Linked DNA regions of Lonchura striata. Each later gene encodes a partner of the first gene's protein in a complex. Links are inferred from orthologs where the notes say so. Each region holds a gene or a part of one and is shown on either strand. Other genes may lie near its edges. The genes, in order: PPP2R2A, IER5 and ARPP19.

Region 1 (7,869 bases):
AGGCATGACTGGAGTCCAGAGCTGCTCTCTGGCAGATCAGAGTGGTTAAAGAGTCATTAAAGCTTGAGACAGTAAGATTTCCTTGAGCTTTCACAGTTGGCCTGGCCCAAGAAAGCAGAAGGAAAGGCAGGGAATTAAAAAGGTTCTCAGACTGCACTTGCACCCACTGCCAGTTTGTCACTGGGTATTCCAAAAGACCAGAGGCTGCTGCTCCAGTTGGTGCAAGAGCCACACAAGGCTCCAGGTCACTGATATGAACCTTAAAGCCAGAAATATCACTAGGAAAAGGACAAATGCAACCATCCTGATACATAACGCTTCCAACAGAATTACAGCGAGGCATTATGATGTACAACAAATCAATATAAACAACTGCTTTCACCAACTTCCAGCATGGACTGTGGGAGCCAAATACATGGGAACAGGAGAGAAATTCAGTTCAACACACTAATTACAGCCAAGCACACCATCAATAATACTTGGGATCTCTCCCTAGGCAGTTCAGTTTCACACCATCTTACAGTATAATACACTTTGGACCTCAAGACTCATTCTAAGTCAGGTATAGCTGACAATGAAAGAAAATTTCTTTTCACTCTTTGGGTCACAGAATCAGAAGGCTACACTGTCTATAACCCAAAAAATGGAGATTCTTACAATGCTGCAGGAACCAAGCTGCCTGGCTTGCTGAAACTGAAGCCAGTTAATTCCCTCAAAGGCTTCCCAGAAGTCCACCCCGGGATTCCAGCAATGCTCAGCGCAGCTCCCAGCCTGGCAGGAGGCACAAGGCTGGCAAGGCACCTTTCATAACACCAAGTGCAACACTTAAAACAGCTCAGCCTGTCCTTCCTTCCTATTTCCTCACTTCTACATTTCCAAATCCCTGTAAAGACTACTTTTCTATACCTATATATAAGTTCATTACTACTAGAAGCATACCAACGTCTATTTTAATGAAGAATTATTTGCAAGCACCACAACTTCACCACAACCACAACTTCTTCAATACTTGTATTTATTAAGGATTTAGTATGATACATAAATAAAACAAAGGTTACAAAATTTTAAATCTGTCAGGGAAAAAAAATATACCACATTTAACAGCACTTTGAGTTCAAGCTTTAAAATCTACTTCCTGAAGAATTTAAAAATAAACTTGAAACTGTACAGCTTTCTCATTTCCAAAAAACATATTTCAACTTGCAAACAACAGAAGCCTCAGTGCATCGTTTGCCACATGCTGCAGCTAATAAATAAAAACAACTCAGTTATGTTTATACCAATCTTTTCTTTTGGCCTTTGGAAGCTAATCTGAACCACATGTCAAGCAGGGAAATAATGGAAACTGTAGTTACTGCTTTTCTAAATATAACATTAATCTCACTTCTATGTCAGAGCATTCAAGATATGCAAGAAAAATAAAAAAAAACAGGAATTACATAAGTGACAAGGCCAACTACTTGCAAAAGAAAACTTTTAACTCATGATCTTAAAAGCTGCTTTGTTGCAAACAGGACTTTATGGCCAAAGAAATTCAGAAGTCAGGGGACCTCTCCTCGGGAATGATCACAGAAGAGATTCTGCTCTCCAGCACAGAAAAAAGCATCATTCCTCCAATGATCCAAAATCCAAGGGAAAAAAGCCCAAACAGTAGTTTTTGCAGTGAAATTCAGAGGCAGCCATCTTAGTGTAACATGACACTTGTCACTGGCAGCTTGGAAAAGTTTCAGACAATTTTCAGCATTATTTCAAACCCAAACCTGCTCCTTATATACTAAGTAGGCATGCACAAATACGCAGATTTCTTCTGCCTCTTGTTAATAGGAGCTAGAAATGTTGGGACAATTCCTTCATGCAGTACTTAGATCTTCAAAGAGTACAAATATTAATTCTAACAACACCTCCTTGTGGAATTTAAGTAACACATTCCCCATTTTGAAGATTAAGAAAAAACACAAGTCAAAAGCCAAAAAATCAGAAAAATCTTAGCAATGTTAGAAAACAATTCCAGCAAAAATAACTTAGGAAGCCTGAACTTTTTTACAAGAATGCTGAATGGTACTTTCAAATCACAGTTTAAACCTGAATCTGGATATGGGAATACATATGAAATGTCCATTTGCTTTGCTCAACGAGCACTTAGCAGCACTGGGATATTTTACTGACTGCATTCACATCTCCCCACCTAAGGAATGGTTAAAAAGTTAGAAAACAGTAAAAAGTATTACTCTTACCTTCTGCTACATCATCATCTACAGCGCCTTTCACCTGAGAAAAACACCACTGAATGTCATTTCCTCCTCCAGCTCCTGAAAATTGAAAACAATTCAATAAAAACGAGCCCCCCCAAGAGCAGCAGCACAAGCACACAATGGCTCCAGATTGCACATTTCAGAGCCTGTGCACGCCCACTTCCTCAGCAGTGCTGAGGCACAATCACACACCACCCTCCCCACCTTTTTCCTTTGGATATTGTTTTTGTCAGCCTTCAATGCACTGTTTGTCAAAAACAGGGAAGCACAACCAGTGTAAAAGCTTCACTCACTCAAAGCTTGCTGGACTAAGCACCATCAACTACGAATTTAAAATTCAAGTGCAGGAACTGCTGTGTTTCACACAAAACTTTTTCCTACTCGAGGAGTCAGAACCCCCCTAAACACACACACACACAAACAGCTTAAATATCAACTATCAGAGCTGTGCTTTTTTAAAAAATTTCAATCTCCTGTCCAATACAAACCAAGCACACAATTCATTTCCTCCTTTCACAAACCTACTGCACCGACCCTAAGCACTCAAGGCTAAAGAAAAAGAATTTTACCACAATTTTAGAGTCTCTTCGCAGAAGTAATGAAAGCAATTATCAGCCTAAAAAAAAAAGCAGCAAATCCGAGCAGAAAAGCAAACAAGCAATCGGAGGGGGACAAATTCTACTACCATAGAAAACGGATCGGAGAGAAAACTTCAGGAACATTACTGCCTCGGCTGAAGGCAGTGATTCATTTGAACCGTGCCACAAAAACACACACCAAAAATCACCACCCATTTCTTTTGCATTTCATTCTGAGCAAATCACTGCAGGGCTGAGGACATACAGGAAGAGCCAGAAATGGGCTTGCCTCGGTTGGTTGGTTTTTTTGTTGGTTTTTTTTTTTTTTTTTTTTTCCCAAAAGCCACTGTCAAAATGGAACTTTTCCTCCACACAACTCAAACCGGCTGAGCAACAGATGGCATTTACACATTAATCCCGAGCTCTGGTAGGGCTTTGGAGATAACAAAGAATACAGGAGGAGACTCTTCCCAAGTTAAGGGGAGCAAAAAAACTCAGAGAGAAGGAAATCAGAGGCCTGAAAATAATCTTTCCAGAAAAGATGAAATATCTCAGAATGAGAAGTCCTGGAATAAAGTACAGTTTGCATTTTTTGCTTGCTTTAAATTCTTCCTTGAAGGATTACAGACATCCAAGATGCACAACCTGAGGAGGTGAAAGCAAGCAACAGAACCCATCTATGCAGGAGATGGCAAAATGCTTTCCCTCCTCCCATCATTCCCCCAAAATCCTACAACCCATTTTCTTCTCTTCAACTTCTTCGTTTGTCATTTAGCGGCTGGCACCATAGCAGCACTTAAAGGGAACAGCTCGGAGAGAATCACTGCTCCTGCTTCTTCGAGCTCTTTTCCATAAAATTTACTTGAACCAAGTTGGCACTTTCCCCCCCCCACGACTAAAACGGCAAGAGGAGGGTGGAGCATGTGCATATGGTGTAGGGGGGAAAGGCAAAGCACATGCCTCACAAAGCCTCCCATGCTTTGCTCCTCCACATGCAAAGCACTGAAAAGACAATTCACGTGCAGAGGAGGGGGATGAATACATTTCCAAATGAAGAAAATGCAAGGAAAAGTAAGAGGGAAGAGATCCTTTCTGCACACACATTCCCAAGCCTACCAACAGCACTTGGGGATGTGAAATGGGGAGTAAGCAGAGGAAGGAATGGGAAAGAAAACACGGCGAGACCTGTGCTGTTTAATCACACCCTGTGCCAAATTTCAGTGGCATTTACAGATGCTCAGAGGCTGCTCCCTACAGAAGGGTGCGACTGCAATCTGGACACCGCCTGCACCTGGAACCTCTCTGTACACGGCAGAGAAATAACTACAAGCACCGACCCTAAAGCCTCAAGGGGGAAACTCTTTACCAGAGCATGTGGTGACAGGACAAGGGGGAATGGGTTCAAACTGAAAGAGTAGGTTGAGCTGGGATATTGCGAAGTAATTCTTCCCTCTGAGGGTGGGGAGGCCCTGGCACAGGTTACCCAGAGCAGCTGTGGCTGTCCCTGGATCCCTGGAATTGTCTAAGGCCAGGCTGGATGAGGCTCAGAGCAACCTGGGATAGCAGAAGGTGCCCCTGCCCATGCCAGGGTGTGGAACTGGACCGGTTTTAAGGTCCCTTCCCACCCAAATCACTCCATGATTCTACGAAAAGGCAGCAGACCCACCCTGCCTGCAAGCTCAACTCCAAAACACACCACTTCCCGCTCCACCTTGCTTCTTCCATGTTTTTTTTTTTTTTTTTCTTTTCCCGGGGAACGGAGGGAAGGAGGGGTGGGTGGGAGCAAAGCACGAATTCCCACACGAGAGGCTAAAAAAAAAAAAAAAAAAAAAAAAAAAAAAAGCCACCCCACAACCAGCAAGGCGCAAGCGAGTCGGAATAGGAGAGGCGGCCCGGGAGGCAGCGGGGAGAGTCCCCCGAGCCACGCCGGGGCAGGGGGGCAGGCTGCCCTTACCTGCCATGTTGTGCTGGCGATAGCGGCCGCGGCGGGTCGGGCGGAGCGGGCGGCGCGGGCGGGGCGGGCGGCGCGGGGCGGGCGGCGGCGGCGGGCGGCGATGGCGGCGGATGGAGGAGGAGGAGGAGGAGGAGGAGGAGGAGGCGGCGGCGGCCGCGGCGGGGCTGGGGCGGCCCCGCTCCGGCCCCCCCGGCGATGAGCGTCCAAGATGGCGCCGGCAGAGCTGGGGGTGACGTCAGCGCGGGGCGGGAGCGAGCCGCCCTCAGGAGGGCGGGCGGTGCCGCCATGTCCGTGCCTGGCTCCTGTTAGCCCTCATGGCGGGGGTGCCGCTGCTTCAGCTCGGCAGCGATCGGCCGCCCTCAGCCCGGTTCCACTCGCCCTTCAGCGCGGCGTCAGTCACCCCCATGGTGAGGCTGTGTCCCTCATGGCGGGGCTAACGACCCTCGCTCGGCTCAGCCCCCGCCCGCCCTCATGGAGGTGTTACCGCCCCTCAGGCTGGAGCGATCGGCCGCCTCCACGGGGGGACTGCCGCCCCTCAGCGCGGCCCCTGCCCGCTCTCATGGAGGTGTTACCGCCCCTCAGGCTGGAGCGATCGGCCGCCTCCACGGGGGGACTGCCGCCCCTCAGCGCGGCCCCTGCCCGCCCTCATGGAGGGGCCGCCGCCATCGCCCGCTCCCAGCCCCTCCGTGCTGCGGTGTCCGCCACCACCGCCGCCCGGACTCCCCTGCAGGAACAGCTTCCTTCCTTGACCCCTCTCCCGCAGGCTCGCCCTTCATGAAGCCGAATATCCTGAGCTGGTTGGGAAGCATCCACCAGGATCATCGATCCAGCTGCTGGCCCGGCAGAGATACCACAAAATCCCACTCTGCATCCCTGGGAGTGCTGTTCAAACGCTCCTGGAGCTCTGGCGGCCTTGGGCCGTGCCCATTCCCTACAGGGTGAAGAACATTTCCCTGATAATCCCTCAGGTTGTGCATCTTGCATGTCTGTAATCCTTCAGGGAAGAATTTAAAGCAAGCAAAAAATGCAAACTGTACTTTATTCCAGGACTTCTCATTCTGAGATATTTCATCTTTTCTGGAAAGATTATTTTCAGGCTTCTGATTTCCTTCTCTTTGAATTTCTGAGATCATCTCCCTTTCGCTTGTGCTTTGGTTTTGGTGTTTTCCCCCCTCTCTTCCCTTTGCTCCCTCCTGCCATTTGCCCGTGCAGCAGGCACACAGAACCTGTTTGCTTGCACATTTTCCACCCCCTTGGATGCTTTCCACAACGTCCAGGGCTCGGTCTCTGATTTCACTCTGTTCTCATTGCTATTCCCTGCATACACCGGCCATGCTCCTGAGCCATTTTTAGCCTCCATCCACCTTTCACACTGACAGCCAGCAAGATCCACAAAGAAAGGCTTTCAGCCGAGCCCAGCTTGGCTCAGCTCCTGCTGGCTTGGGAGGGATGGAGGCTCCTTTTTAGCTTGCTGGGTCCCAGTTACTGTCTCATCTGTAGTTAACTACAGGACTGGGATAATTAATTCAGTACAATCTATTTAAGATCTTGTGAAAGTCATCAGTTTCCCTTAAAAGATGTTTGTGCAAACATATTCTTCTTGGGCTGGGTAGATCTTGCTAATCCAGATTTCACTTGGAGATTCATAAGCTCATCCTGCAAACCCAGCGCTACCACAAACTTGAAATGTGACTTGGAACAAGCCTCCAAAACCCTCCCATACACTGATTTCTACATTTCCATCTCTGAACACCTAAGAGGATGCTTTTATAAATGAAAAGACCATTGAATTGCTTGTCAAGTCCACCATGAAACAGAGCTGTAGGAACTAAATACCACAAATGAATACAAAAAGACAGGCTGCCACCAGAAACCCACAGCTGGCCCAAATTACAAGTTATTTTGGAATTCTGATTTGTCTCTGCATCCATGATAGAAAAAAAATTGCACAGGCAAATAAATCAATCTTGGAAATAACAATAACATTTGAAAGAACATTCAGCATATATGGGATGTTCTAAAGAATTGCAACTTACCCAGGTTTGGAAATCTCTGTAACCAAGTGTTTTGCTTGGGTTGTTTTGAGAGCAACCCAAAAACACTGCAAGTTTGGAAACAATCACAACGAAAACAAACTCCCTGGTCCCAAGCATCCCAGTCCACATTTCCCATAGCTCAAGAGCAAATTCACTCAATTCTACAAATTTGTGGCCATGTTTACTTTATACCAAATTCAGCAAGAAAGCTGGCATTCCTCTCTTTTCAGAATTCTTTAAATTCTGAATTTAATTAATAAATTAAATTAATTCTTTAAACATACTCTTTTCAACGTAAGCAGAATTGTCCTGCAACTGTTTAGCAGGAAAATTTGCAGATCTAGTCCAATCCATCCATTGTCTTTTGTATAATTACTGCAGAATTTGTACTCATAGCAGAATAAGCCTTGGTTCAAGAACTTTTGTTGTTAAAAAAAATTAAATATGGCAAAGAGACCTGCAATTAGCTCTGTAAGAGAAATTAATGAAGCCTTAGTAGAAAGCTTATAATTACAATAAAATTTCTCTTAGAAAATATTGAATATCATGGTGCTAGGAGGATGGATTGTAACTCAAACACTTCAGTTTTTTGTTGTGAACCAACAGCTACAGAAAATAGTGGAGCGTAATAAATAAATAACATTAAATTACAGCCATAGCAATTAGTGAGACATCTTGGGAACCACAACCTTTGCCTGGGTGTTCACTTGCTTGGTAGTTCAGAGGTTCACGCTATGAATGATTGGTTCAAATTAGGCAGTGTGTGTTCCATAGCCCTGATTCAAAGCTTGTGAGCACACACCTGGATTTTTCTGGAGCTTGAGCATTTGTTGAGGTGCTCTGGGGAGATTGTAACTGTATGGTGTTAAATTTATACACAGCCTCCAACAGCACAAAGCTTTAATGGGCATTTATCTACTCCCATCATGCTTTAATGACTAATTCTTACTCTATACAAAAACTCCTTCAGCTGAGACTGAAGATGACCTCTGGGAAGTGGGAGGAACTTACAGGAACAAGGACTCAAAAAACAGCATTTCTGCATCTAT
Region 2 (6,300 bases), on another chromosome or scaffold:
CAGGCCTATCAGAGAGGGCAAAAAACATACAGGAAGGTGGACTACAATAGGAGGGTTGTCTGATAGGAAACCCCAGACAAATAAATGCATTTTTTCCCCAGGAAACCCAAACCAGTACCATAACCCACTGAAAGATGAGGGGGTCACATTTTTTCCAAGGGAAACAGATGCCTAAAGAAGCTGATAGCTGGGAGTGGGATTTTTTTTCCCCCTCATTGTGTTTGGAGAGGTTGTTGGAGGAGCAGCAGGATATCTGATGGGCAGAGGGACAGGTCACTGTTCTCCAGGGGAGCAGAGGGAAATCCCAGGCCAGTGGCTCAGAAGGAGAGAAGGGAAATTTTAAATCATTTGTGCAGGAGGAATCCCAGATCACTGGTGAAAATTAAAAAAAAAAAAAAAGTGTAGGAAAGAGTCTTGCCTGCCTGGGATAGTAGCACTATGATCTCTGCCATGGGAAGGGGGTTTTAACCCTGGAAAACCCCTTTGCTTTCTAGTACACGGCTGTGCTGCAGGCTCACACCTCACTGTGGTTTTGGGGCGGGTGTCTCAGCGCTCTCAGAAGCCAGGGGAGCTGCTTCCTCTCCTCTGGGTTTAGGTTTGTATTGATTTGTTTGTATTTGTTTCACTTGTGTTTGTTTTTCATTCATCAGCGATTAGTGTTTGGCTCTCTGGGCTGTGTTTTGGGATGTTTCCCAGCTTTTCTGACCTTATCTCCAAGCAAGGATAAAGCAGAGCAGTTGGGAACCCTGGGGGATTAGTTACCAATATCCGATTGTGGCACGTCCAGACTGCATCCACGTGAATCATTGATTTTTCTGGGGAAAAAACCCAACCCAAGACAACCTTCCTCTCTTACTCCTGAGCCCCACATGGGTGCCTTGCAATTAGATGTTTATTCCCATCCAGAAATGAACTCAAGCTGCGGATAGATTCCCATTTGGAAACGTTCTTCCCGGTCCTGTTTTGTTTACGTCAGCAATCACTGGGGGACGTGCCTGGATCTCCCTGGGGTTTTGGCTGTCCTGAAGTTCTGTTTTTGCTCCAGGCAGCTGTTGGTGCCAAGGCTTTTGCCTCAGCACCGCTGGTGGTGAGGGGCTTTTGATGGATTTGTTCACATCCTCCTCTCAGGATGGGTCTAATTCATGAATCCTGGTGCGAATAGAAGAGAGAGGCATCGATGCACGGCAGCAGCACTGGGACAGCCGCTGGTGGATGACTTCAGCGTGTGCTTCGAGGACACCCTAATTTCACTGTCCATCCCAGCTGGAGGGTTTTCCACCTCTTTCCTGCATCCGGCTTCCCCCTGGGGCCTGGGCCGCACATTTGGTGACAGCGAGGAGCTGGCGGGGGGCTGAGGAAGGGGTCAGGCGCCGCTGTCGGAACAGGATCTCGCTAACCACATCCTCATTCCGCGGGGGGCCGTGCTGGGAGCCAGATGGCCGGGCCGGGCCGGGATGGGAAGGGCCGGGACGGAGCTCAGCCAGGCTCGGGGACCGGCAGAGCCGCGATGCTGCCGGAGCTGGGGCTCCCCCAGCATCCCCCGCCGCTCCCGGCCAAGATGCGACCGCACGAATCCCCAGCGAGCATCCCGGCGCCGACCTCCTCTGCTCGGAATTGAAACGCTTCCAAAAAAGCCGGGGGCGTGCGCGCAGCCCTCTGCAATTATTAGTCGTACCACAAGCTGCTTCCTCCCTCCCTCGAGCCGCTTTTATGTCGCATTGTTTTCCTTTCCAGGTGGCCCACCGGGGCTGCCTCCTCGCCACCGCGCCGGCCGCAGCTCTGCTGGCGGAGAGGCCACCTTTGTCTGCCAGCCAGCCCGGCCCTTCCTCCCCCTTCCTCCTCCTCCTCCTGCTCCCGTGCCAGAGCTATTTCGGGAAACAGCAGCTGAGCCGGAGGATTGTTAATTGTTCGTCAAACCCCTTCCAACCCCGCCGGATCACATGCGGAGATTAGAGCGGCCGGTCACACCCTTTCCCTCCGCCTCCTTCTCCTGGATCCCCCCCTGACCCGCAGGGCTGGGGGCGATGTCCCTTCCGCGGGGCGGGCGGAGGGATGGACCGGGGGGTGCATCCAGCTGTGCCCAGCTGTGGGAAGCGCGGCGATGCCGAGCCGCGGCTAGCAGCGGATCGCCGTGCTCGGAGGGCAGCCCCGGGCGCGGGCAGGAGCCTCGGGGCAGCCACAAGGAAGGCAGACAAAGCCACCCCAGGCGCTGACCTCAGAAGCCGCCATGTGACTCGGCCTCAAAGTTACTAAAGCATGACATCAGCCGGGGAGGGAGCGGCAGAGCTGCCACCAAAATATGCCTGCCTTCAACCGGCTGCTCGTCCTCGCCCGTGGATCCCCCCCACTCCCGAGGATAATTGCCATTCATGGTAGTTCCTGCTGGAAAACAAATGGAAAAGATCGCTTTGACACGCAAAAAGCCAGCCTAGTCTTTGGGTCGTTCCCAGGGATAAGAATGTGTCTGTGAAGCAACCCACTTTAGATAATGATATACGTATTGATATAGTGTGTGTGTGCACCTTTGCTTTGGCAAATGTCCTGGACCGTGATTCTGAGATGAGATGTTGTTGTGGAAAAGGAAAAACCATCATCCCACCTCTGCAAAGGGCACGGAGAGCAGGCAGATGTCGAGGCAGAGCTTTGGTGCCCTAGGAATACCGTGCTGATGGTTGTGCCTGACACCAGACGTGGTGTTGGTGGGTGAAACTCGTGGTGCTGGGTGCCAGCTCTCCTGCACCTCTGCCCCTCCCTGCTGGTGCTCTGTCTGAGCACTGAGAGGGACGAGGGATCACTCAGTCCCCATCCCCATCCTGCTAATCCCTGGCCAGAGCCGGGAGGGGCTGCTGGCCCGCCTGCTCCCAGGCAGGGTAGCGGCCAAAAGGCAGTGCCTGCAGAGAAGTGGTGCCTCATGCCATGGGGGTGAGGTGGTGAGCAGCAGAACAGGTCAGTCTGCTCCGATCCAGGCATCTTCACCCCGCAGAGCTCCCACGCTCTGCCTCCTCCACCCGCCTTGGGCTTTTCCCAGCTGGTGTGATGACTTTGCACTGCTGCTTTTAGTCCCCGAGTTGGGATATGCCTAGCTGAGAGATGCATCAAATCTGACTTTCTGACCCTTTGCTGAAGATGCAAGTGCCCAGATCTGGCAAACAGTAGTCCCAGAGCTGGCCTTGCATCTCCCAGGCACACAGCCAGCCCTGTGCCACCAAGGGGACACTGGTGGCGGGTGAAGAGCCGTGACTGCACTCGCAGGCATGCAAGCCCAGAGCTGCCCTGGCTGGTTAGGCTGACCCGAGGGCTCAGGACAGGGTGTTGCTGGCCCTGCGAGGGGCGGGGAGCAGGTTTGGCAGGTCGGGAAAGCCTCGGTTCCCACCGCTGGAGCTCGCGTCCCTCCGGCCTCCCACGCCGGGTGTGGAGGGGACAGCCCCGCTCCCTGCGGCCAGGACAGGCTCTCCCTGCTGTGGGCTAAGCTGGGACCTTGTGTCTGTGGGACTTTTTGTCTGTGGGGGAAGCCAGGCTTGGCTGTTTTGGCCGTGTGGCTGAGAGTGCCCCGCTCGGGTCACTTCAGATGGAGCACGGCAGGTTTGGTGGAGAAGGGCTGGGCATTTTGAGATGTCAACATCCAGGCTGAGATGCTATTGTGTCTGACACCCAGAGAGTGACATTTTGAGGTTTACCATCTGTGTTTGACCAGGAGGAAAACATACATTTGTCCTGAGCACGGTTTTTTTTTTTTGAAGAAGGCTCTTGCTATGTCAACTATGCATTGGTGTGGCCTCATCTTCACTTTTTTTTTTTTTTGTTACCTCTGTGACCCGCCACCCTTTTTTCCTTCTAGAAGGCCAGGACATGGCGACAGGTTGTGCCAACAAAACATCATGATAGCCTGTGGCTTTCCCTTGGGGGAGTTTGTGGATTCATCCCCTGGGGAAAAAAGGGATGGAAGCAAGTTGTTATATGTCATCTGGGAATGGAAACTGATACTCTGGGGCAGCATGTTGAACTTCCTTAATTTTAGGCCCTTTCACTTCTTTTCTGTTTGCAAGTGGTGGTTAGTCCTTGGTGGAAGGAGGAAGGTCTGCACACCAAGCTCTGAAACACCCTCCAAGCTTTCTTGGATGCCTCCCTGGTGCCTGCAGCTGTGTCTGGGGGCTGCATGTGTTGTCTCCTCTGTCCCTCAGCCACCTGGATGATCCTGCCACCAGCTTTCACAGTAAGATTCCAGCTCCCAAACAAGATGCTCCAGTTTGCCGTGGTCCCCATCACACTTGGAGATGCTCTATTTGCCCTCCCCTACAGCCTTTCCCAGCCCTGTTGTGGATCTTCTCTCTGCCCTGGGCTTTCTGGGAGCTTCACTGCCAGGCCCCTGGAGCAGAATTCTGCCTGGCAGCTGGGCAAGCACGGCTTTGTTCCACATCAGGGCAGATTTTCCCTGAAATCCTCACAGACACATTTCACCCTCCAGCCATCACCACCACCAGCTCCTTCTCTAGCGCAGTAAGATCCCAGACAAGGGGCTGAAATTGCGGGAAACGTCCCCAACCTGACAAAACGGAGGCTGCGCTGGGTTGGATTTGTTTTGTTCGGTTTGTTGTCTGTTGTTTTTCCCTCCCCAGGGAAACGTTTCCATCGCTTTGGCCGAAATTCCCCGCGCCGCCCGCGTGGGGTTCCGCGGTGGGCCCCACCCGCGCGGCGCGCTGGCGTTGCCGCTTTAAGAGCCCTCTCCGCGGGGCGAGCTTTCGAACGCGCTGCCCTGCGCCGCCATTGGCCGGAGCGCGCGCGCGGGGGCCAGCCGGCGGTTGGAGCGGCCGGCGGCGCTCCCTGATTGGCCGAGGCGGGGGCGGTATAAAAGGCGGGCGGGCGCGTGGGCTCGCTCAGTCTGCGGCGCGAAGGGGCGGCGTGCGGAGCTGGGGTGAGGCACGGGTCGCCGCTCGGCTCGGGGTTTTAACTGTTTTTTTTTAAATCACCCCCCCCTTCGCCCACCTGCTTTCCCCATGGAGTTCAAGCTGGAGGCGCATCGCATCGTCAGCATCTCTCTAGGCAAGATCTACAGCGCGCGGGGCCAGCGCGGCGGCCTGAAGCTGCACAAGAACCTCCTGGTGTCGCTGGTGCTGCGCAGCGCCCGACAGGTCTACCTGAGCGAGCCGGGCTGCCCGCCCGAGCCGCCCCCCGCGCCCGCCGGCCACCCCGAGGAGGAGCCGCCGCCCCGCACCGCCGCCTGGGCGGCCGAGGAGCCGCCGCCGCCCCCGCAGGACGAGGCGGGCAGGGACTGCCAGGGCCCCCGGCCGCGGCGCTGTTGCTGCGGCGAGAACCGCGGGGGCTGCGCCGGGGCCCCCCCGCCGCCGCACTGCCCCCGCAAGCGGAGCGCCGGCGAGCGCGGCCAGGCGGGCTCCCCGGTGAAGAAGCCCCGCCGCGAGGAGGAGGAGCCGCCGCCGCTGCCACCGCCGCCCTCGCCGCCGTGCGAGCAGGAGGACATGGAGACGGGCAACGTGGCCAGCCTCATCAGCATCTTCGGCTCCAGCTTCTCGGGACTGCTCAGCAAGGAGCCCAAGGGCCGGCGGCGACCGCCTCTGGACGGCGGCGAAGCGGCGGCGGGCACGGCGCCCGCCGAGGCGGCGGCCGAGCCGGGACAGATCTGCTGCGACGAGCCGGTGCTGCGGACCCTCAACCCCTGGAGCACGGCCATCGTGGCCTTCTGATGGCCCGGCCGCAGAGACTGGCTCCCCGCCGCGGGCCGCGGGGCCCGGAGGTGACACCCACCGAGCGCCGCGGGGCTCCGGCGCCGGCCAGACCCGGCGCCCTGCGCCGCCGCACGGGAGGGACCGCGGGGCAGCGGCGGCAGCGCTTCCCCGTTCCCCGCCGGGTCCCGGCTGCCGGCACCCGCCCTGGGAGCGCCCCCGGCCCTGCCCTCCCGGAATTCCCCTTCCCGGCAGAGCCGCCGCCGCCCTCCCCGGCGCCCGGGGGAGGCTCCTCGGCTGCCGCCGACCCCGGGGGCGCCCCCGGCGGGTGATATTTTAAGCTTGGAAAGTATTAAGTTTATTAAATAAAGTCTCTATTTTGGAAAGGTTTAGGTCAGAACTATTACATGGTGCTTTTTAAAAGTGTTTATTGAGAGGAACGAAGTTTACAGACGCTCTGACGGAAAGTCCTTGAGCCTGTTTGTTAGGCTTGGTAACTCCCGGTCTTTGTTGTATAAAGGCTTGGGGCTCCCGTAGGGAATTTTGTACAGTGTTCTCCTTCAGTGATGTATCATGTTTTGTATAAAATGTAATTTCTACGTGTACAACACGTATTAAATAT
Region 3 (7,496 bases), on another chromosome or scaffold:
ACCACAGACTGGATTTGCTCAAAAGTAATCCTTTCAGCTCAACACTTGGAACACCTAATGCTGAATCACTGGGTACTCACTGCTAAGCCAACAGACAAAATATTTGAGGAGGTACATTTTGCCACTAAAAGCCAAAAGACGTATTTTTGCCAAAAGGAAGTATTTTTTAAGATAAAAGGACCAACAATAAATAGCTTATATAAATATGCATTCACGGTGCATCAAAGGAGACATTTATGCAAACTCACAGGGCTGACAAATTATGGCACAGCAGGCAATCCAAACAAACACATCGTGTTATGCATCAATGCAACTCAGAAGGATACAGAGCACGGCCGCTTCTTCTTGATGACCGACAACAACAAAGACTCAAAAACCCACAGAACACAAACTAAAGAATTTCAGTACCACGACTCGGGGTGCCAAACAAAACTAGCTGACGGCAGGTTCAAAATATACTTAAGACAACAGTTCTTCACGTCAAACACAGTTAAGCTGCAGAACTCCTTGCTGAAGGATACAGGGAGTGCCAAGAATTTGGATTCAGAGAGCAATTCGATGTGTTCATTTGCAGCTCAGAAGCCTTTCAAACCAGATTGCTGAGATCTCGGAGAGTTTTCTTGAGCTGATCACCGGCTGCACGTCCTGATCTTATATTCTTCTGAGGACTAAATGGTATTGAGCATTCTCAGAGATGGGCTGCTGAGCCCGAAGACTTTAGTCCAAGCCACTCCCACATTCAGAACATTCTCCCTTGAATTACAGAAGCAACAACCAAGTGACTAACAAATGACTGGGGAGTGGGCAGAAATCAAGATACACCACGCTCTTCTTCCAAGTGACAACCACACAAAAGTTATAATTTTAGTTCTCTACAGGAATATGACACAGCTCATGAAGTCATTAAAATTATCTACCAGGAAGGCAGTAGTTACCTAACTCACCTAAAGACAGCTTTTGATTTTAATCTTTGCAGAGGTTCCAGCAGCATTAAGTTCTGTATCTGCTGGACAAGTGACCTGCATGACTTAAAAAAAAAGCCATCAGCCTTTTAAAACTCTGGTGTGAATGGCTCATCTTTAGTAGAAGACTTCAAAGTGCAAAGCAGAAAATGGGAAAAAACACGGCAACAGCACAACCCCACAGCAAACTAATGTGGCAAAGACCAATTCAGCAACAAAATGCACCACCTCCAAGGTCTTCCTGAAAAATACAGGCTCAACCAGACATACGTTCTCCTATGTCCAAAGTTTCTTTGTTTCTGAACTTTCCCCCACCACTGTCCTGAGTTTTCACACCAAGAACAGGAAACGCTGGTCTTTGGCAGATTTTCAGTTTATACCACTGTAGTTAAAAACCTTTCTTGCTCGGCACAAGCTTCTTACAGCATGTCAGAAAGTTTAGAAAAAAGCTCTGATCATGAAAACACTGTCTCAAAGTTCATTTAGGGGCGGCATCTTTCTGAAGCATACATGAATAAGTACTGCAAAATGGGTTGTTTATGTAAGTGTTTCAGAGCCAAGCATTAACCGAGTGAATGCTCAGTTCTGCCTACCCAGACAAATAGCTTTAGTGGAGGTTAATATTGCAATGTCATAACAGCACTGATATCACAGTATCAGACCAGGACATAATCCAAGTTTTATTTTATTGACGTTATATAATTTTTCTTGAACACTTTACCAGAATAAAACTAAATTAGGATAGCAGCAAGGACCTCCCATCTCTCAAGTGAAAGGTAATTTCTCCCAGCAGACATTTCAAGACTTCAGTCTGGAAGTTCGTTAGGAAAATCAGCCTGTCACCTGACTTCATCAGAACACCCTAGAAGGCATTACAATAAACTTGCTGCCACATGTTTAACTATGCTCTTATTACAGAGCTATTCTAGGAGCGCTGCATAGGCCAGGGACTTATTTTTATAGGCTTTGAACAGGAACAGTATCCCTTCAGCAGCCTACCTAGCATGAACGTTCAGTCACGCTGCAGAACACACCTATTTAAGAGCAGATTACAGAGCTGACAAGAAGCTGGTTCTGATTACTGCACCTACTGAAAAGGTATCATTCCATATTAATCCCCAAAGCTCTACCTGTGCGACTAACTCATATTACAAATTGTAAATTATTAAACAAAAACTTAATAGCTGATGTAGATTAAGCTTTTTCTTTTAGCGTCCTTCAAAGCAGTACTTGTGTTTCATAACTTCTCCGGATCATAGCCGCGGGGATTGCAACCGGGCTCCCACAGCAATGACAAGACTAAAAAACAAACGGCTTCTTAAAGTCACAGCACAGCCGTGAAACCAAACCCCACTTGAGCAATGGCACAATTATTAGTTACAGAGATGGCATAAGAGGGACGCCACAAGATAACCCAGCCAGTTATTCTTTCTAAAAGCCTTAACTAGCACAGGTCACGGTCGCTGTGATTTGGGGATTTCTTCTCCTGCATTGCTTACACTAAAAACTGAACATTTTTTAGAAGTGGATCAGGGCTGGTGTCCATCCCGCCGTGAGCCGAAGCCATCACGCAGGCCGGCCCGCGGAGGGCCGGAGGGAGCGGGGCCGGGGCCGAGGAACGAGCGAGGCAGCGCCTCCGGCCCGGCACGTCGGGCCGCAGGGCCAGCGCACAGCGCCCGCAGCGGGAACGGCCCTCCCGAGCCATCCTGGCGCTGCGGCCCCTCCGCCGCAGCCCACACGGCCCGGCCGCGCTCCGCAGCCCGGGGCGGGCGCTGCTCTGAGCGCGGCCGGGCCCGGAGCCGCTGCGGCCCGCGGGGCTCCCCGCGCTGAGGGACGGACAGGCCCGGCCGCGCCGATGGAGGCGGGAGAGGCCCCGCGGGGCTCCCTGCGCTCCTCGGCCCGGCCACCCACCTTCTGCTCCTCGGCCGAGGCGGGCTCGGGGCTCTCGGCAGACATGGCGGCGCGGCAGCGGGGCCGGGAAGGAGGGAAGCAGGGAGCGAGGGAAGGAGGCGGGCGGGAGGCGCGGCCGCGGCTCCTCCGCGCTGCTGCTGCTGCCGCCTCCTCTCGCACAAGATGGCGGCGGCGGGCGCGACGGAGCGGCGGCGGGGCCAGACTTCCTCCGCCTCGGCCCCCGCGCGCGGGCTGGGGAGCGGGGGCGGGATCCGCCTGCGCCCCGCGCGTCACGTCCGGGGTCGCGGGTTCGAGGCCCGGGTCCGGTGCCCCTCCCGTTAGAATCAGAATTACAGAAACGTCAGGGTTGGAAGGACGTTCAGTGTGGTCCAGTCCACCCTCACGGGCGTCACTGTAACCACTAAACCACGTCACCCGGCGCCAGAGCCATCCGTCTTTTAAACACCTCCAGGGATGGTGACTCCAGCGCCTGCCTGGGCAGCCTGACCAGCCGAACAGTGAAATAAATTCCTCTAATACCTAATGTGACTCGCCCCAGACTCCGCTTAAGGCCATTCCCCTGGTCCCCGCACTGGCCCCAGCTCACCTCACCTCCCCACAGCCCCCTGACCCCAGCCTGCGTGGCCGCCCCTTCTCAGATCGGGGCAAAGGGAAAAACCTCCACTGCCGAGCTAAACTCGGCTCTTTTGGCCACTTCTAGTGATCAAAATACAGGGAGCCGAGTCCTCAGCAGCATTACTCGAGGATCTCACGAATCCCAGACAGCAGCTGACAGGACATGAACGCTCAGTCCATTGGAACTTCTTAACAGCACAGTATCAACTTATACAGAGTATTTTATTCCCTCCCCATCACTGTGTGGTTCTTGGCTGAAATGGAACCTTCTGTGGTAAAGGAGCAGTTTAAATAGCCCACCATTAATAATCCTTTAGGGGTCCCTAAATAAATGGATTATGTGAACAGCAAGGTATGGATTAGCACAGCTCAGGAGGGACTGGCCAGGACAGGCTTTGTGCGATTATGGTCGGGAAGAACACAGGAGCCAGGTCAGAAAAGTCTGTGAAAGATGAAGCTGTCAACGATTTTGTCAAAGCTGAATTGTACTGAATGCCCCACAAGCCAGTAGGTGGAAGAGGTTTTTTGTGCACCTGGGAGATTCATCCAGAGACCAGCATCACATAGCTGTGGGGAACCCAAGGAATGGGCATATCCCTCATTCAGAAAGGGATACAGCCAGGCAGATTGCACAGAAAAATTATCATAGAACGCACCAGTGGGTTTTTTCCTAATGATGAAAAAAGCCATGATAGTGGTGGGTGTGCCACATTTGCTTCTAGCAAAATCAGGGAGAAATGGTCTGAAAGTGTGAAAAACATAGCAACATAGAAAAATGATCATAAAAAGGATGAAGTTCATAAATTTTAAAAAGAAGAACAAAGCAGTGACAGCAGACAAGAATGCAAACTCCAGGAATTTCTTTCAAATCTCTTAGGAAATTAATGTGAGGGAAAACAGTTTTAAGGATCCAGCAGCTCCTTAATGCAGTTATTTCTTTAAGGGAACATAATGCAGAGCAAAGATGGGAGATAAATTCAGAACCTCAGGAAAAGCCCAGGTTCTTCAGCGGTCTCAAATACAGGAAAGCAGGCTACAGAAACTAGGTCAGTTTTTAAGGAAGCAGATCATGAAGACAAGGGGGTACCAAAATATTACTGAACAAAACTTTTAAAGACTAAAGTGTTTAATGTTTCTTTTTGTTCAATCTGGCATGATCAAGGTAAATAGTGTAACAAACTAAGCATGGCCTCTAGCTGGAATAAGGAATGACTGGTTTGCAGGTTACTTTAATTAGTTTTGGTAAATATTTTCAACTTGGACGAAAGAATTTCCTTAAGAGATTACAGGATGACAGAAGCAATCTCCAGTTAATTACTGGTGATTCATATAGGAACCTGTAAAAAATGAATGGGTTTCCAGGAGTCACTTTTCCTGAATTTGGATTAGAGTATGGGGAGGACAGAATACAAGCTATATAATTATGCTGTCAATAACGACTTGAAAAATCATCTAAAATAAGCACTCAAAAGAAACTGAGTAGCTAGGCAGGAATTCACAGTTAAGAACAAGGGTTTCACACAATCATCTTTCCTTTAAGAAAAAGGAAATAGACCATGTGGAGAAGTGGGTGAAGGTGGATGAAGTTCCAGATGCCTTCTGGCATTAATAACGCTTCTGACACTTTCCCATGCAAATTAGGGAAACTTAATTAGATTAAACTTTAATGTGGTGGATGCAAGTTTGTTGGACACAGCTATCAATACTTCAAACAGCAGTGCTGTGTTCAGCACATAAAATCTTGGGTAGTGAGAGAATAAAGTTCAATAAGGAGAGCTACTATTTTGGGAAAAAGCAGGTAGGATGTCTCTTATACTGGGTAACCATATGAATGCAAGCTGACATCTCCTGATACTGAAAATCAGTGTATTCCAACAGGATGCATGAAGAGGACTTTAATTCATGTTTTATCAACCAATTATTTCAGTCTGACTGGCACAGAGAGGCCCTGACTGGGGTGCTGTGTCCAGTCTCACACACTTCAAGACTGATTCAGTCCAAAAGAAAGCAAAGACCAGAATGACAAGAGGTGCACAAAATAAAGGCTAACCGAAGAGTCTGAGGTTGTGCTAGTTAAAAAAAAAAAAAAAAAGACTGAGAAGGGAGATACAAGAACTAAATTGCTTGCTTGTAAGTGAAAAGACTAAGTATTACTTAACTTCAGCAACATTTAGTTGGAAGTTATAAATCCTTATATAACTTTAACTAAATGTATATACTCAGTATAACTGAATGTTATACTTTGTCACGATAAGTATAATTTATCACTGGAAGAGGTTAGTTGTAGCAGCCATCACTGGAGGCCCTTATAAACCACTCAAACATTTTAAAAAAATAGTTGTATATGGTTGAGCCTGTTGAGGAATAAAGAGGAGAAACCAACGGTCTCTCAAAAATTAGTCTAGTCTTAAGCTTAGAAGGTCATGCAGAATTTAGTTCATGGTTTATGAGCATCCAGCATTTTTCCAGGTGTGTCCTTAATGGAAAGTGTTTACTCAGATCAAGCTGTAAATGGAGAATGACTTAATAAATTCAAAGTTGTGCAAAGATAATCCAAGGTCACTTTCATTCCAAATCCATATAGGGACTAAGTGTAGTTGGACTATTAAAGTGAATACAAATTTATTTCCTAGACATGACTTGTAGTAACCACATATTTAAAATCCACATTTCTTTGCTATTCAAAGCAAATAAATGAAAGGATATTACTTGAAGAAGTCTATTTAAATAAAGTTATCAAGATACAAACATTGCATAATAGTGCAAAATAAAAGGTTAATCTACTACTAATGGTGACTTTTCATTAAAAATGTGTCCTTTCCTCATGTTGTTTTTTCATTGAGCATGCAAGCAAGCTGTGCACCATGACACAAATAAGTAGTTTGAGGATACATGCTGTTTGCTTATGACTCAATAGCAGCTACACAAAAACTAGGACGTCCTCTTGATACCCTAGTCCAGACCTTAGTTCTGTACACAGTACAGCTGCAGCTGTGTTTGACTCTTCTGCTACCAAAAGAAATTGTTTCTCAGTTTTAAAGGGCAAATTACTAGAAACTGCAAACAATCTCTTCCTGTACACTTTTCCCCAATTCTCTCTAAAATGAATGCTAGGTAAACCTTTGAAAGCCTGGTGTAGCAGAGTGGAAAACACTGCTACAAGGGGAAAGGACTCAGTAATATCTGAGCTTTGCCCTTCTGGAGAAGCAGTCATTTGCATGTACAAGATAGCTGATGAGTATCATCTGGAAAGTCCAGTCTCCCTTACGCTCCCTGGCAGACTTCCTGGAGATTTCATGATACACTGACTTCTCTCATCTAAGGGCAGTGCTGAATATACAGGACGCACATTCATCCTTTCTCCAGTCTTCATCAGATAAACATGGTAAAGGGCACCTTGCATATTACTGACACTCTAAAAACCTACAGCAAAGTAAAGAAAAACACAAATCAAGGTAAGACAGTTGAGAAACTCAGATCATCAAATGTCATAAAGCTTCATTTCCATTATTAAATATATAGCTCAAATATAATCAAATGCTTCTAACTTTATTTCTCTCAGTTACACAGTTTAACACGTAGCATAAACTGTTCATCTGACTGTTTTGTTTTAGGAATACACACACATATTGGAAAATAGTGATATGCCCAGTGTAGCATTTCTAGTAAAACTTCCTATGGCCACCTAGTGGCCTACATGGAATTGACCTATGAAAAATATTTAGGATTACATGAAGATCCTCTCATCTAAAAATAAAACAAAAAGTACAAGTTTCATAGCTTTTGCATATATTTGAGATATAAATACTAATTTGTTTGCACAGTACATCCTTTAACACAATTTGAGAAATAAAATGGGGGAGGGTGCAAATTTTATGTGAGAGAAACTAATAACAGAAAGCAAAATTAAAATGGCCCTTAAGGAAAGAAAATAAATTGAGGGAGTAAAATGTGAATTGAATTAACGATCTGAATGCATGAGCAAGTAAATAAACAATCTGCAGTCTG

Evidence for each region.
Region 2: the proteins of PPP2R2A (region 1) and IER5 are in contact, whole or in part, in a cryo-EM structure (PDB 8UO5), measured with the Homo sapiens proteins. The link is inferred for Lonchura striata from reciprocal best matches to the Homo sapiens genes PPP2R2A and IER5. Residues at the interface, in NP_002708.1 of Homo sapiens: Glu91, Ile92, Glu93, Glu94, Asp116, Tyr178, His179, Asp197, Leu198, Met222, Leu225, Thr226, Glu227, Val228, Thr230, Ser247, Phe280, Phe281, Glu283, Ile284, Ser287, Cys334, Tyr337, Glu338, Asn339, Asp340, Phe343, Lys345; in NP_057629.2 of Homo sapiens: Ala7, Arg9, Ile10, Ile13, Ser14, Lys17, Arg25, Gly26, Lys29, Leu30, His31, Lys32, Leu34, Leu35, Val36, Leu38, Val39, Leu40, Arg41.
Region 3: the proteins of PPP2R2A (region 1) and ARPP19 are in contact, whole or in part, in a cryo-EM structure (PDB 8TTB), measured with the Homo sapiens proteins. The link is inferred for Lonchura striata from reciprocal best matches to the Homo sapiens genes PPP2R2A and ARPP19. Residues at the interface, in NP_002708.1 of Homo sapiens: Lys18, Gly19, Ala20, Asp23, Asp24, Asp29, Ile31, Thr45, Asp47, Gly49, Arg51, Val53, Phe55, Val73, Thr76, Gln78, Glu81, Pro82, Glu83, Phe84, Leu87, Lys88, Ser89, Glu91, Glu93, Tyr178, His179, Asp197, Leu198, Asn221; in NP_001293124.1 of Homo sapiens: Lys42, Pro43, Gly44, Ser46, Phe48, Leu49, Arg50, Arg52, Leu53, Lys55, Lys58, Tyr59, Phe60, Asp61, Lys75, Pro93, Asp97, Leu98, Pro99, Pro103, Leu105, Val106, Ala107, Ser108, Lys109, Leu110, Ala111.

Annotation. Positions count from the first base shown.
Region 1 is NC_134634.1:2,457,891-2,465,759, forward strand, and holds the start of PPP2R2A (serine/threonine-protein phosphatase 2A 55 kDa regulatory subunit B alpha isoform), read right to left. Parts: upstream 3,047-7,869; coding exon 2,938-3,046; intron 2,310-2,937; coding exon 2,235-2,309; intron 1-2,234. UniProt on the Homo sapiens protein: Substrate-recognition subunit of protein phosphatase 2A (PP2A) that plays a key role in cell cycle by controlling mitosis entry and exit. Involved in chromosome clustering during late mitosis by mediating dephosphorylation of MKI67.
Region 2 is NC_134611.1:2,038,642-2,044,941, reverse strand, and holds IER5 (immediate early response gene 5 protein), read left to right. Parts: upstream 1-4,890; 5' UTR 4,891-4,994; coding exon 4,995-5,699; 3' UTR 5,700-5,788; downstream 5,789-6,300. UniProt on the Homo sapiens protein: Plays a role as a transcription factor. Mediates positive transcriptional regulation of several chaperone genes during the heat shock response in a HSF1-dependent manner. Mediates negative transcriptional regulation of CDC25B expression.
Region 3 is NC_134613.1:12,459,189-12,466,684, reverse strand, and holds the start of ARPP19 (cAMP-regulated phosphoprotein 19), read right to left. Parts: upstream 3,051-7,496; 5' UTR 2,919-3,050; coding exon 2,874-2,918; intron 766-2,873; exon of another isoform or gene 409-765; intron 395-408; exon of another isoform or gene 249-394; intron 1-248. UniProt on the Homo sapiens protein: Protein phosphatase inhibitor that specifically inhibits protein phosphatase 2A (PP2A) during mitosis. Inhibition of PP2A is enhanced when ARPP19 is phosphorylated.